3 linked regions of the Cricetulus griseus genome follow. The protein of the gene in region 1 interacts with the protein of each later gene in a pairwise test. Links are inferred from orthologs where the notes say so. Each region holds a gene or a part of one and is shown in the gene's direction. Other genes may lie near its edges. The genes, in order: Tnfaip3, Ywhah and Trim23.

The links.
Region 2: the proteins of Tnfaip3 (region 1) and Ywhah interact in a two-hybrid assay, tested with the Homo sapiens proteins (2 studies listed by BioGRID). The link is inferred for Cricetulus griseus from reciprocal best matches to the Homo sapiens genes TNFAIP3 and YWHAH.
Region 3: the proteins of Tnfaip3 (region 1) and Trim23 interact in binary tests that used the Homo sapiens proteins (3 or more experiments, as listed by UniProt). The two-hybrid records come from large-scale screens. The link is inferred for Cricetulus griseus from reciprocal best matches to the Homo sapiens genes TNFAIP3 and TRIM23.

What each region holds. Positions count from the first base shown.
Region 1 is NC_048595.1:270,735,019-270,737,905, forward strand, and holds the end of Tnfaip3 (tumor necrosis factor alpha-induced protein 3), read left to right. Parts: intron 1-246; coding exon 247-531; 3' UTR 532-2,358; downstream 2,359-2,887. UniProt on the Homo sapiens protein: Ubiquitin-editing enzyme that contains both ubiquitin ligase and deubiquitinase activities.
Region 2 is NW_023276807.1:102,061,214-102,064,967, forward strand, and holds the start of Ywhah (14-3-3 protein eta), read left to right. Parts: upstream 1-1,616; 5' UTR 1,617-1,819; coding exon 1,820-1,906; intron 1,907-3,754. UniProt on the Homo sapiens protein: Adapter protein implicated in the regulation of a large spectrum of both general and specialized signaling pathways. Binds to a large number of partners, usually by recognition of a phosphoserine or phosphothreonine motif.
Region 3 is NC_048595.1:322,464,711-322,468,364, forward strand, and holds part of Trim23 (E3 ubiquitin-protein ligase TRIM23), read left to right. Parts: intron 1-1,409; coding exon 1,410-1,544; intron 1,545-3,654.

The sequences.
Region 1 (2,887 bases):
GACTTCTCAGTCCTTTATTCTGAATATTCAGGATGCTTCCATTTACTGGCATATGGCAGAAGCGGGGAGGACCTTCCTCAAACTGGGTCCACAGGATTGGTGGGGAGCTATGGACCCTCAGTTGCACATTTTTCTGCTTCTCTCACTCAGTCAGCTCAAGCCTCTGTAGAATCCAAATCTGTTATTTGAAACCCCCGTCTGGTTTCCTGAGAAATGTAACATCCTTCTCTTGTTCTTCCCACACAGAGATCTAGCCAGCTCAGAGATATGCCCCGTACGACACAGGGAGCCTCGAGGCCCAAGTGTGCCCGGGCCTCCTGCAAGAACATCTTGGCCTGTCGTAGTGAGGAACTATGCATGGAGTGTCAGCACCTGAGCCAGCGAGTGGGCTCTGTGGCTCACCGGGGTGACCCCACTTCTGAAGAGCTCCCTAAACAGCGCTGCCGGGCCCCCGCCTGCGATCACTTCGGCAATGCCAAGTGTAACGGTTACTGCAACGAGTGCTTCCAGTTCAAGCAGATGTATGGCTAAGTGCAAGCAAGAGGACTGGCCCAGCAAGAAGGGGCCTCAAACTGCCAGGCGGAGTGGTGCTGTACTCCAGACCCCTGAGTGCCATAGGAAGGGTGGGCCCTGGGACAGTGGCTTCGAGTGTCTTTGAGCAAAGGAAACAAGATAAGCTCTTCATCATGGCTGTGACATTCGGGTTTGGTAACCAAGACTATGTCCAGGTAGGCTGAGAGTAGACCTCGTGATGGGCAATGCATGATGTCACATTCAGCCTGAAGCTGTTGCTGCTCATCTACCAGGAATCCGGTGAGATCTTGAGACATGGAATGCATGCTAGGACTGGCAAGCAGTTCCTGTGCCCACCTGCCAGGAAACAGGAGAAAAGCACGTGGACAGGTGGGTTGGAGCCTGAGACCACCTAACTGCCCCCACCCCCACCCTGGAAGCTTTTCTCAGAGAGCCAAAGCTGAATCCTCAGAGTACCAAGGCCCTCTGCCAGCCAGAAGCTCGAGGAAGCTCAGGGGAAATGACATGGGTAGAGCGCATCTGTAGTCGGTGGGCTTCCCTATCTGCCTGCTTGGTTCCCAAGGTTCTGTCTGAAAGCAGAGCCGCACACAGACTGTAACCCTGAGGCTGCTGAAACAGAAATGTTCACATGGAGACAAAAAAAGCTGCTCTTGACTGTATGCATACACCTTTTAGACAGCAGAACATCTTAGCAGGAAGACATGCCACCACTGGTCATCATTGTCTTCAGTTCCAGAGAGACTAGTTTGCACAGAGGTGTGTATCAGCGTGTGTACATATGTAATATACCCTTATATTATGTATAAGGGAGTTGTTTTTTAAACATTCAAATGGTGCCCCAGAGGTAATAGGAAGACTGAATAATAATAACCTATTTTCTGGTTGTTGTCAGGTTGCCTCTGTGTATGCAGCTTGTTACGTGAATTCAACAAGCTGCCTCCTTAAAGGGTGCCCTCATCGTACTTTATTTATTATGGACTTCAACGTTATTTAAATGAAGATTTTCTTCTGCAGTATTCTCTTGGAATAACATACTTGCTTTCCGCCATGTTCTGGGAACCTGGCAAATTCCTGACCTCGGGGTGTGGTGGGGCAGTTGTCTGCCCTCTCTACTCATTGCCTCCCTAGGAAAGAAGGGATTGCTTTATGAATAAAGCCTGTAGAAGCTGATACTTCTAATGACTCCCCGGCTGCACAGGAAGAAATTGTGGTGTGTCTCCTGTAGATGCTTCCAAGTATCCTACCTCTTTGAAGAGTAGATAGGGATGGAGTGGGGAGGGACACAGAAATATGTGGCCTTTCATGACCTTTGCTTACTGTGTAAATGCTGTGCCCTTGGGGTACTGGATAGGAACCCAAGCCTTGGAACCGCAAAGCCAGTAGCGATGAGGATGAGGAGGTTTCTGCCATTGGCTTGTAGCTTTTCTGTGTGTTTTGCGCTTGCCTTTGGAGGGAGATGCATTTCTCCAGAGGGAAGGGCTGACATCCTGGGTTCTAGCCCAGCACCTGAAGATGTTTGTGATGTATAACTCTATATAGCCTTTTCTCTTCTTATCTGACACTGTCTTTCCTGACTTACATCTTTGTCTTTTTTTCATTTAGTTCTTTCAAAGTTGATAACCTAATATTTTGTGTCTATTGATATTTTCATTCTTAATGTGAAACAATGAAATTATTTATACTTATAGAAAGTATGTGAAATTTGCACATTTAGTTGTCTTCATAGGATGGAATCTACCTTTTTTGGACTTCTTCAGATTGTTTTATTAAAGAACTGTAACTTCACAAAAGTCATTATTAAAAAATAAATTATTTAAGAACAAATTTTAATGTTTTTTATTCATGAATGTTGGGAGAAAATGGGGTAAAATATGAAGACTTTGATATATAATGAGCCATGGGTGCACCCTTTACCCATGGAAAAAGAGATAACTAATGCAAAATAATCAGGCGGTTGCTGCACAGACATGAGAAGTTGAGTGAATTCCCATCACCTTTGTACAAGCCCTATGCGGTAGCGAATGCAGTTGCACATAGATGCACACACAAGAACACCTGCGCGCGTGCGCGCGCGCACACACACACACACACACACACACACACACACACACACACACACACACGAAACAATCAGCAGATTAGAATGAGATACTCAAGCAAGCACCGGCCTTGGGTTTAATAGCAATGGCACAGAACCCAGATGGATATGTGAAAGCGTCTCACCCTACACCAGTGGTTCCCAACCTTCCTAGTGTTGCAACCCTTTATACAGTTCCTCATGTGGTGGTGACGCCCATCCATAAAATTATTTCATTTCTACTAAATAACTGTAGTTTTGCTACTGTTATGAATT
Region 2 (3,754 bases), on another chromosome or scaffold:
TGGGTTCTATCTCCAGCACCCACATGGCAGCTCACAACTGCCCCAGTTCTAGGGGACGCGCGAGCGCGTGCACACACACACACACACACACACCTCTGACCTCTACACACGCATCCCTCACCCCACTTGCCTTCCACCCAAATATGTTTAAAAAAGTTAGAAACAGTCTGGCGGTGGTGGCGCATGCCTTTAGTCCCAGCACTTGGAAGGCAGAGGCAGCTGGATCTCAGTGAGTTCGAGGCTAGCCTGGTCTACAAAGCAATTTCCAGGATAGCGAGGACTGTTACACGGAGAAACTCTGTCTCAAAATACAAAAAGTTTAAAACGTCCTCTCTATATATTTAAAAATGAAAATGATAGCTCTGAAGAGCAATGTCTGGGGTTCATCTCTGCCCCCTTGCCTTCAATACGCACAGTTCTCAGTCAACCTAAGGCCCCTTCTCCTGTGATTCTCTGGGGATGTTTTGTTTTTTGCTTTGTTTCTAGACAGGGTTTCTCTGTGTAGCCCTGACTGTCCTGGAACTTGCTTTCTAGACCAGGCTGTCCTGGAACTCAGAGAGCCACCTGTGACTGGCTAGAGTGCTTGTTTTAATTTTTTTTTTTTTTCCTAGCTTGGTCTTAAGGCCCAACCCAGGATCCCTTAGCATGGAATTGCAGGCCTGGGAGGGGCTTAGTGACCAGTCAGTCCATTGCCATAGAAGTCCAAGAAGATACTGAAATCAGATTTTGGTCACTCCACACACAGGAAGTGTGTGTGCCCTTGCTTTGCATTTTTGCTGCTTCTTCCACTGAGGGGTCCACCTCAGGCCCTCGCTCACACCAGGCAAACATGGTACCTCTGTGTTGTAACCCCAAACTTCCTTTCAAATCTTTGAAACAGACAGGGTAAGTCGACCAGGTTGGTCGCCAACTTTTTTTTAACCGGGGTCGCGGCATGCACTTGGGCTTTGAAAAATGGGGGCCTGCTGTGATTTTCGTGGAGTCGGTTGTATGAAATAGGTTAGTGCCAGTTAAGGCCCAGCAGTGGGCCAGCTCCTCGTAGGCCTGTCGTGACCGTTAAACTCTGCCAAGCTACCTGCCAGCCCTGTGAAAGCCAGAGCTGGCCGAAGGTCACTTCTCAGGGTGCGGTATGGTGGGTTCCAGTGTCTCTGAGGAGCTGTCCCTAAGGGAAGGAGCCACCACCAGAGCTGACCCAAGCGCTGGGTGTGGCCTCAGGGAGCAGAGACGTCCCTCGGTGGGGGGCGGCGGCTTCTCCACACAGGGTTATTTGCTGGGAGGGCCCTTCTCAAACCTGAGCTCTAACATGGGTTTTGTGACGCTTTCCTGGCCTGGGCGGCGACAACGCCAGCCTGAGGAGCCACCATCGCCGCGCCCTGGCCGCTCCCTACCCTCCAACACTGCGGCGGTAAAATGCAGCACTCCTAGGGCGCCTGCGCCGCTCTCCAGCGCTGGGCCTAGCCGCAGCTATTTATAGTAGATGACGTCACCTTAAAAAAGACCGTTAGGGCTGGGCCGCCCCGCTCCCCCTCCCGCGGCTCGCCGCTCCGAGTGCGCAGGCGTGGTCGCGTCCTCCCTCCCGCCGCCCGCGGCGCCCCCCTGTCCTCTCTCCGCGGCTCCGCGGCCCTCGCCACTGCGCGTGCAGCCAGCCAGCGAGAGGGCGCGAGCCGCGGCGCAGCCTGCAGCCTCCCGCCAGCCGGCGAGCCAGTGCGCGTGCGCGGCGGCGGCCTCGGCGGAGACCGGGAAGCGGACGGGCAGGCGGGCGAGCGAGCGAGCAAGCAGGCGGTGCGGGCGCGCGAGGCGAGGCCGAGTCGCGAGAGACATGGGGGACCGAGAGCAGCTGCTGCAGCGGGCGCGACTGGCGGAGCAGGCGGAGCGCTACGACGACATGGCCTCCGCCATGAAGGCGGTGAGCGCACCGGGAGCCGGGCGGCCGGGGGCTGTGGGGCGGGTCGGGCCTGGGCGGCGGCTCCCTCCCAGCGCACAGCCACCTTTTGGGCGCGGCGGCCGCCGAGCTCTCCATTTCCTGAGGCCCTGCCGCGGCGGGGTCTCCCCTCGGAGGTTGGCGGGCAGGGGTCGCCGCAGCCTCGCTCGGAGCCCTGGTGGGGGAGGGGGTACACGAGGAAATCGCGTTCCTGCTTCTAGACCCTTCTTCCGACCTGAGGCGAAACGTGCTTCCCTTCCACCATTCACCCACTTGTAATAAAGAATCCTCAGCCACTGGAGACCCGTCTCCTGGTTTTCTCCGCCACGACCTGTTTGCTTTGCTTGCCTGAAGTTGGTTCTTTCCCATTTTCCACACCTCGGGTCTGGCTTTGTGTGCGAAGACCTCATTCCAGAAGTCATAGGCGTGAGGAGGGCGTGGGTCCCTACATAATATCCCAACATTCAGTGCAGCGTGTCTGCCTGCGGAGGAAATGAAAATGAAGCAAACCTGGGTGCCTTTGCATTCCTGAGACCCTCATAGATGGATTCTGCAACTTGATTTCCGGTAAAGGAGACATGCCCAGCCACACCCTAGCAAGTATCGTAGATTAGAGCCTACCTGCCTATTCGAGGGTTTGAATTCTGGTTACCACCCCACTATAGACGACTCTTCACATGGTCCTGGGTTTTCTCTTGTCAAGAATATTTCTTGTCAAGGTCACAGTGATAGAGGTGCAACCGTGGCTACTAAGTGTCTTGGTGTAAACCTCCTAAGCTTGGGGAGAATTTCCTTGGACTCCACCATAGACAAGCATTTTGGGAGTGAGACTCAGAAATCTGCCTTTTAAGCAGCCCTTAGGGCAGTTTTTAGCTGACTTAAATGAGTAAGTATTAACTGCCCTAGATTGTAGCTCATATGTCCTATAGCTGGCCTTTGAAATGATTCTTAAATAAAAAATTATAAACCTAGAGACTCCTGTTAATATAATTTGGAAACTTTATTTTGATACTACATGAGATATAAAATTGAGGTGAACATTTAGGATTTCCCAGGTAAGAACAGATAATCAAGTTACTATCTTCTCTAGTGCCCTGTTACACATTCAGCAAAATGTCTCTGGAAACCCTGTTTGTTGATTCATTGGTGAGACTGACTTCACTATTATGCTATGCTGTGCTGATTATATACAAGCTTTTCATTTATACCAGGGGATGTTCTGGGTTTGGGGTCTGGACTTTGAAGAAATTGTGAATTCTTCCTTTAAGAAAACAAAGTTAAAATATGGTTTTGCAAATTTTTGGAAACAAGACTGTAATCACTAATGTACATCTTGAAAGCCACCACTGTTCACACACCAAGTCACCAAATAGCTCTGGGATTCTGCAAGTTGAGGCCTCTCCCTGGACCCTGAGTGAGGCCTGTGCTCATGGTGTGAGTGGTACTTGAAGGCTGCAGTTTTGGGAGATAAAAATGTTGAAGAGAAAGATGGATGGGGCTTATATGAAGATGAATTAAAACTAAGGAAAAACGGCTGTCATGTATGTGGAGCTGCCAATTTCCTGAGGTGGGAAATTAGGAAAGACTAGAGAGATGTTACCAGAACAAAATATAGTTTCATCAGGGAAAAAAAGGCCCTCTGGTCTCTCTAAATGGGCTTGAAAATGAAGTTGCCTATTTTATTCACAGATGTTCCCTGGGGCATTAAGATAACATTTTACAAGCTAATGAACCTTTGAGTGTGTTAGAAATTCATGATTCATGGTTTGGAAAAGACACCAGGAACAGAGAATTTAATATTTGCACCATCAAATTTGTGATAAAACATTCCCT
Region 3 (3,654 bases), about 52 Mb from region 1:
GCTGTAGATAGATAAATTGGGAGGGGCAGGGGGGTTGGGTGGGAAATATCAAATTGGGTGCTCAAAACATCCAGCAGAAACTACTGACTATAGAAATCCTAAGGCAACCAGCTAGAGTCTCTGGCAGAGCAGATTGTCCTCTCAGATGAAATTTTCAGAAAAAAAAAAAAAAGAAAAACACAAAAAACAAGTAACAGTAGGAACATGACATAGTCAAACTGGGGACTTACAAATACTCAGCAGAAGCTGACTAGGGAAGCTCCATGAGGCAGCCAGCTAGAGTTCTTGCTGGAATTCCAGGCAGAACAGGGCCTTGATTGAGTCTTCTGAGTAAAAGAAAAAATAGCCACAGGTAGAAATAACATCATCAAATCAGGTGCTCACAATGTCCAGCAGAAATCAACTGGAGAAGTTAATGCAGCCAGCTAGAGTTCCCAATTGAGCTTTCTCTCCATGGATGAGCTTCCTGTGGCTGAACTTCATACTTTTCTTTCTGACCGTAGGCACTTTTATATCATGGGATAAAGCAACAATAGTAACATGTTCGGAATGTTTGTTCTCTTGCTGTTTGTAAGGACATGATGTTTGCTGGCTAGTTTAATATCAACTTGATAGGGCCTAGAGTGATTTTGGAAGAGGGAATGGCAATTGAGGAAATGCCCTCACTGGATTGGCCTTAGGGTCACCCTGTGATGAATTTTTTTGATTAATGATTGATGTGGGTGGGCCCAGCTCATCCTGGGCTGGTGGTCCTGGGTGCTATAAGAAAACATTGAGCAAGTCATGGAGAACAAGCCAGTAAGCAGCATTCCTCTATGACCTCTTCATGAGTTCTTGCTTCCAGATTCCTGCCCTGTTTGAGTTCCTGCCATGCCTTCCCTTAGGGATGGACTGTGATGTGAAACTGTAAGCTGATATAAATCCTTCCTCTCCAAGTTTCTTTTGGTTATGTTGTTTTATCACAGCAATAGAATCCTATCTAAGATATGATGTTTTTACCCTTGATCTCTTTTGCTGTTCCCTTTCTCGTCACAGAGTTAGTGCCAGACAAGGGGCTTGGAGGACACTTAACATAAACAGACATGGCTCAGAAGTAGGGAAGCAACCCCAGTTCCTGAGCCAGCTTCTCAGTGAGCTCAAACAACACATGGGTTTACCAATGTAATGTACTGTACATCTCTCCAGCACGACAAGCAAGTACCACTGTGCCTTGCTTTTTACATAGGTTCTGAGGATTGAATTCAAAGTTCTCATGCTCATGAGGCAAGCCTTTTGCAAACTAATCTGTAGCTCCTTAGCTTCTAAAATTTACTTTTAATACTGTGATATTACATGGTCTTTATTGAAAGTTGATGGAGTCTCCATTTTTAAGAGGAAAACTTTATAGGAAATACCATCTTGTTTTCTAGGATGATTGCAGAGTTGTCTTGGCAAAACAAGAAATTACAAGATTATTAGAAACACTGCAGAAACAGCAGCAGCAGTTTACAGAGGTTGCAGATCACATTCAGTTGGATGCCAGTATCCCAGTCACTTTTACAAAGGTGATGTATTGCCCTTGTTTTTACCTATGCTTTCTACAAATTGCAAGTAGCATGAAATGTAAATCAAATTAAGGAGGACACTAGGGAACTCATGAGTTGTAAAATTTCAATAAAAACTTTCATCAGTGGGCAATAGAAACAAGTGAGATTAAATCTCTGTTCTTATTTCACAGTTTAAGTAGAATTGTACCCAAGACATTTAGTAATTTTATATTTTTATACTTTACTGTCAGGTATCCAGCTAATACTCAAATTTCTTAGATTCTTTTTGGAAAACATTCTGAAGGAGTGGCCAGTGCTCTTAACCGAGGAGCCATCTCTCCCGTTCCTGTCTAGCTATCTCTGCAAGCCTCCATTTTCAGTTCTTGTGGTGATATACCCAGAAATAAAAGTTAGGGGTCATGTAGTAAGTTTTTTTCAAATTTTCCATTAAAAATTTTAAATTTTTTTTTGTTGTGAGAAAGGTTTGTATGTAGCCTGTGCTGGTCTCAAACTCACTATATAATAGCTAAGGATGACACTGAACTAATGATGATACTCATGATTCAACCTCCAGTGCTGGGATTATAGGCTTGTGTCATCACACCAGGTTTTTGTCATGCTGGGCATGGAACCCACAGCTTTGTGCATGTTTTGCAAGCATTCAGCCACATATGTTATCAGGAATTTCTGTGGTATTTTACATATGGTTAACATATCATAATCTTACTGTTGTTGTACAAATATTATAATTTCTCCACATTTTGGATAGTGGCCATCTTAACCTGTATGACATTTTATCTTAACTGTGGTCTTATTTTGCATTTTGTTTTGGTTAACAATGTTTCTTTCGTATACTTTCCTGTTGTTTGTCTTGAGTAACTATAAGATTTTGGTTCACTTTTTTTGTTGTTGTTTAAGAGTTCTTTATGAATCATGGGTATTTACCAGTCTCTTTTCAGCTTTTTTTTTTTAATTTCTAGATATTTTACTTCATTTGATAAATTTCTTTTTCACTATGTTGATTATGACCTATTATGCAGAAAGGTCTTAAATTTTATGTAAATTTCTTTACCTGTTCTTGCTGTGCGCGCGTGTGTGTGTGTGTGTGTGTGTGTGTGTGTGTGTGTGTGTGTGTGTGTGTGTGTGTGTGTGTGTGTGTGTGTGTTTCGAGACCTGGTTTCTGAAATTCTCTCTGTAGATCAGGCTGGACTTGAACTCACAGAGATCTGCCTGCCTCTGCCTCCTGAGTGCTAGGATTAAAGGCGAATGCCACCACTGCCAGCCTGTTTCGGTTTTGTTGCCTGTGCTTTGGTATCATATCCAGGTATTTATTGTCAGGTTCAAGGTATTGAAGCTTTTCTTTGTATTCTTCTAGCTTTATAGTTAGGAGTGCTTTCATTTAATTCATTTTGAGTTAATTTTTGTGTGTGGTGTAAAATAAGCGTACCTGTTCATTCTTTCACACACCAATCTTCAGTTTATTCATTACAGGTTTGAAGACCATCTTTTTTCTTTGTTGAGTCATCTTTGGAATCCGTGGTGCAGATCATTTGGTTGTATATGTGGTGGTTTACATTTGGGCACTTTACTCGGTTTGTTTGGTTTTGCGTCAGTCCACATGTTTTTCATTTCTGTGGCTTTGTAAAATATTTTGATGTCAGAAAGTGTTAGTCCTCTGACTCTGTTCTCTTCAAAATTGTTTTAGCTGTGTTCCTTGAGGCCTATAACATTTTTTTCTTCCCCACAAAAGTTGTCTTTTTGTTTTCTAATCTGTAATTTGGCATATATTATACAAATACTCTACCATTGAAGAGTACTTTCACTCCATGTCATTGGGATTTGGGTAGAACTTACACTGACACCTGAACAATATTGATTTTTCAGATCTATGAACATGGAATGCCTAAGACGTCTTTATTAATTTTTTTAGATTTATTTATTTTATGTATATGATGCTCTATCTAAATGTATGCCTTTATGCTAGAAGAGGGCGTCAGATCCCACTATAGATGGTTTGAGCCACCTTGTGGGTACTGAGAATTGAACTTAGGACCTCTGGAAGAGCAGCCAGTGCTCTTAATCTTTGAGTCATCTTTCTAGCCCCTTTGTTAAGTGTCTTGTATGTGTG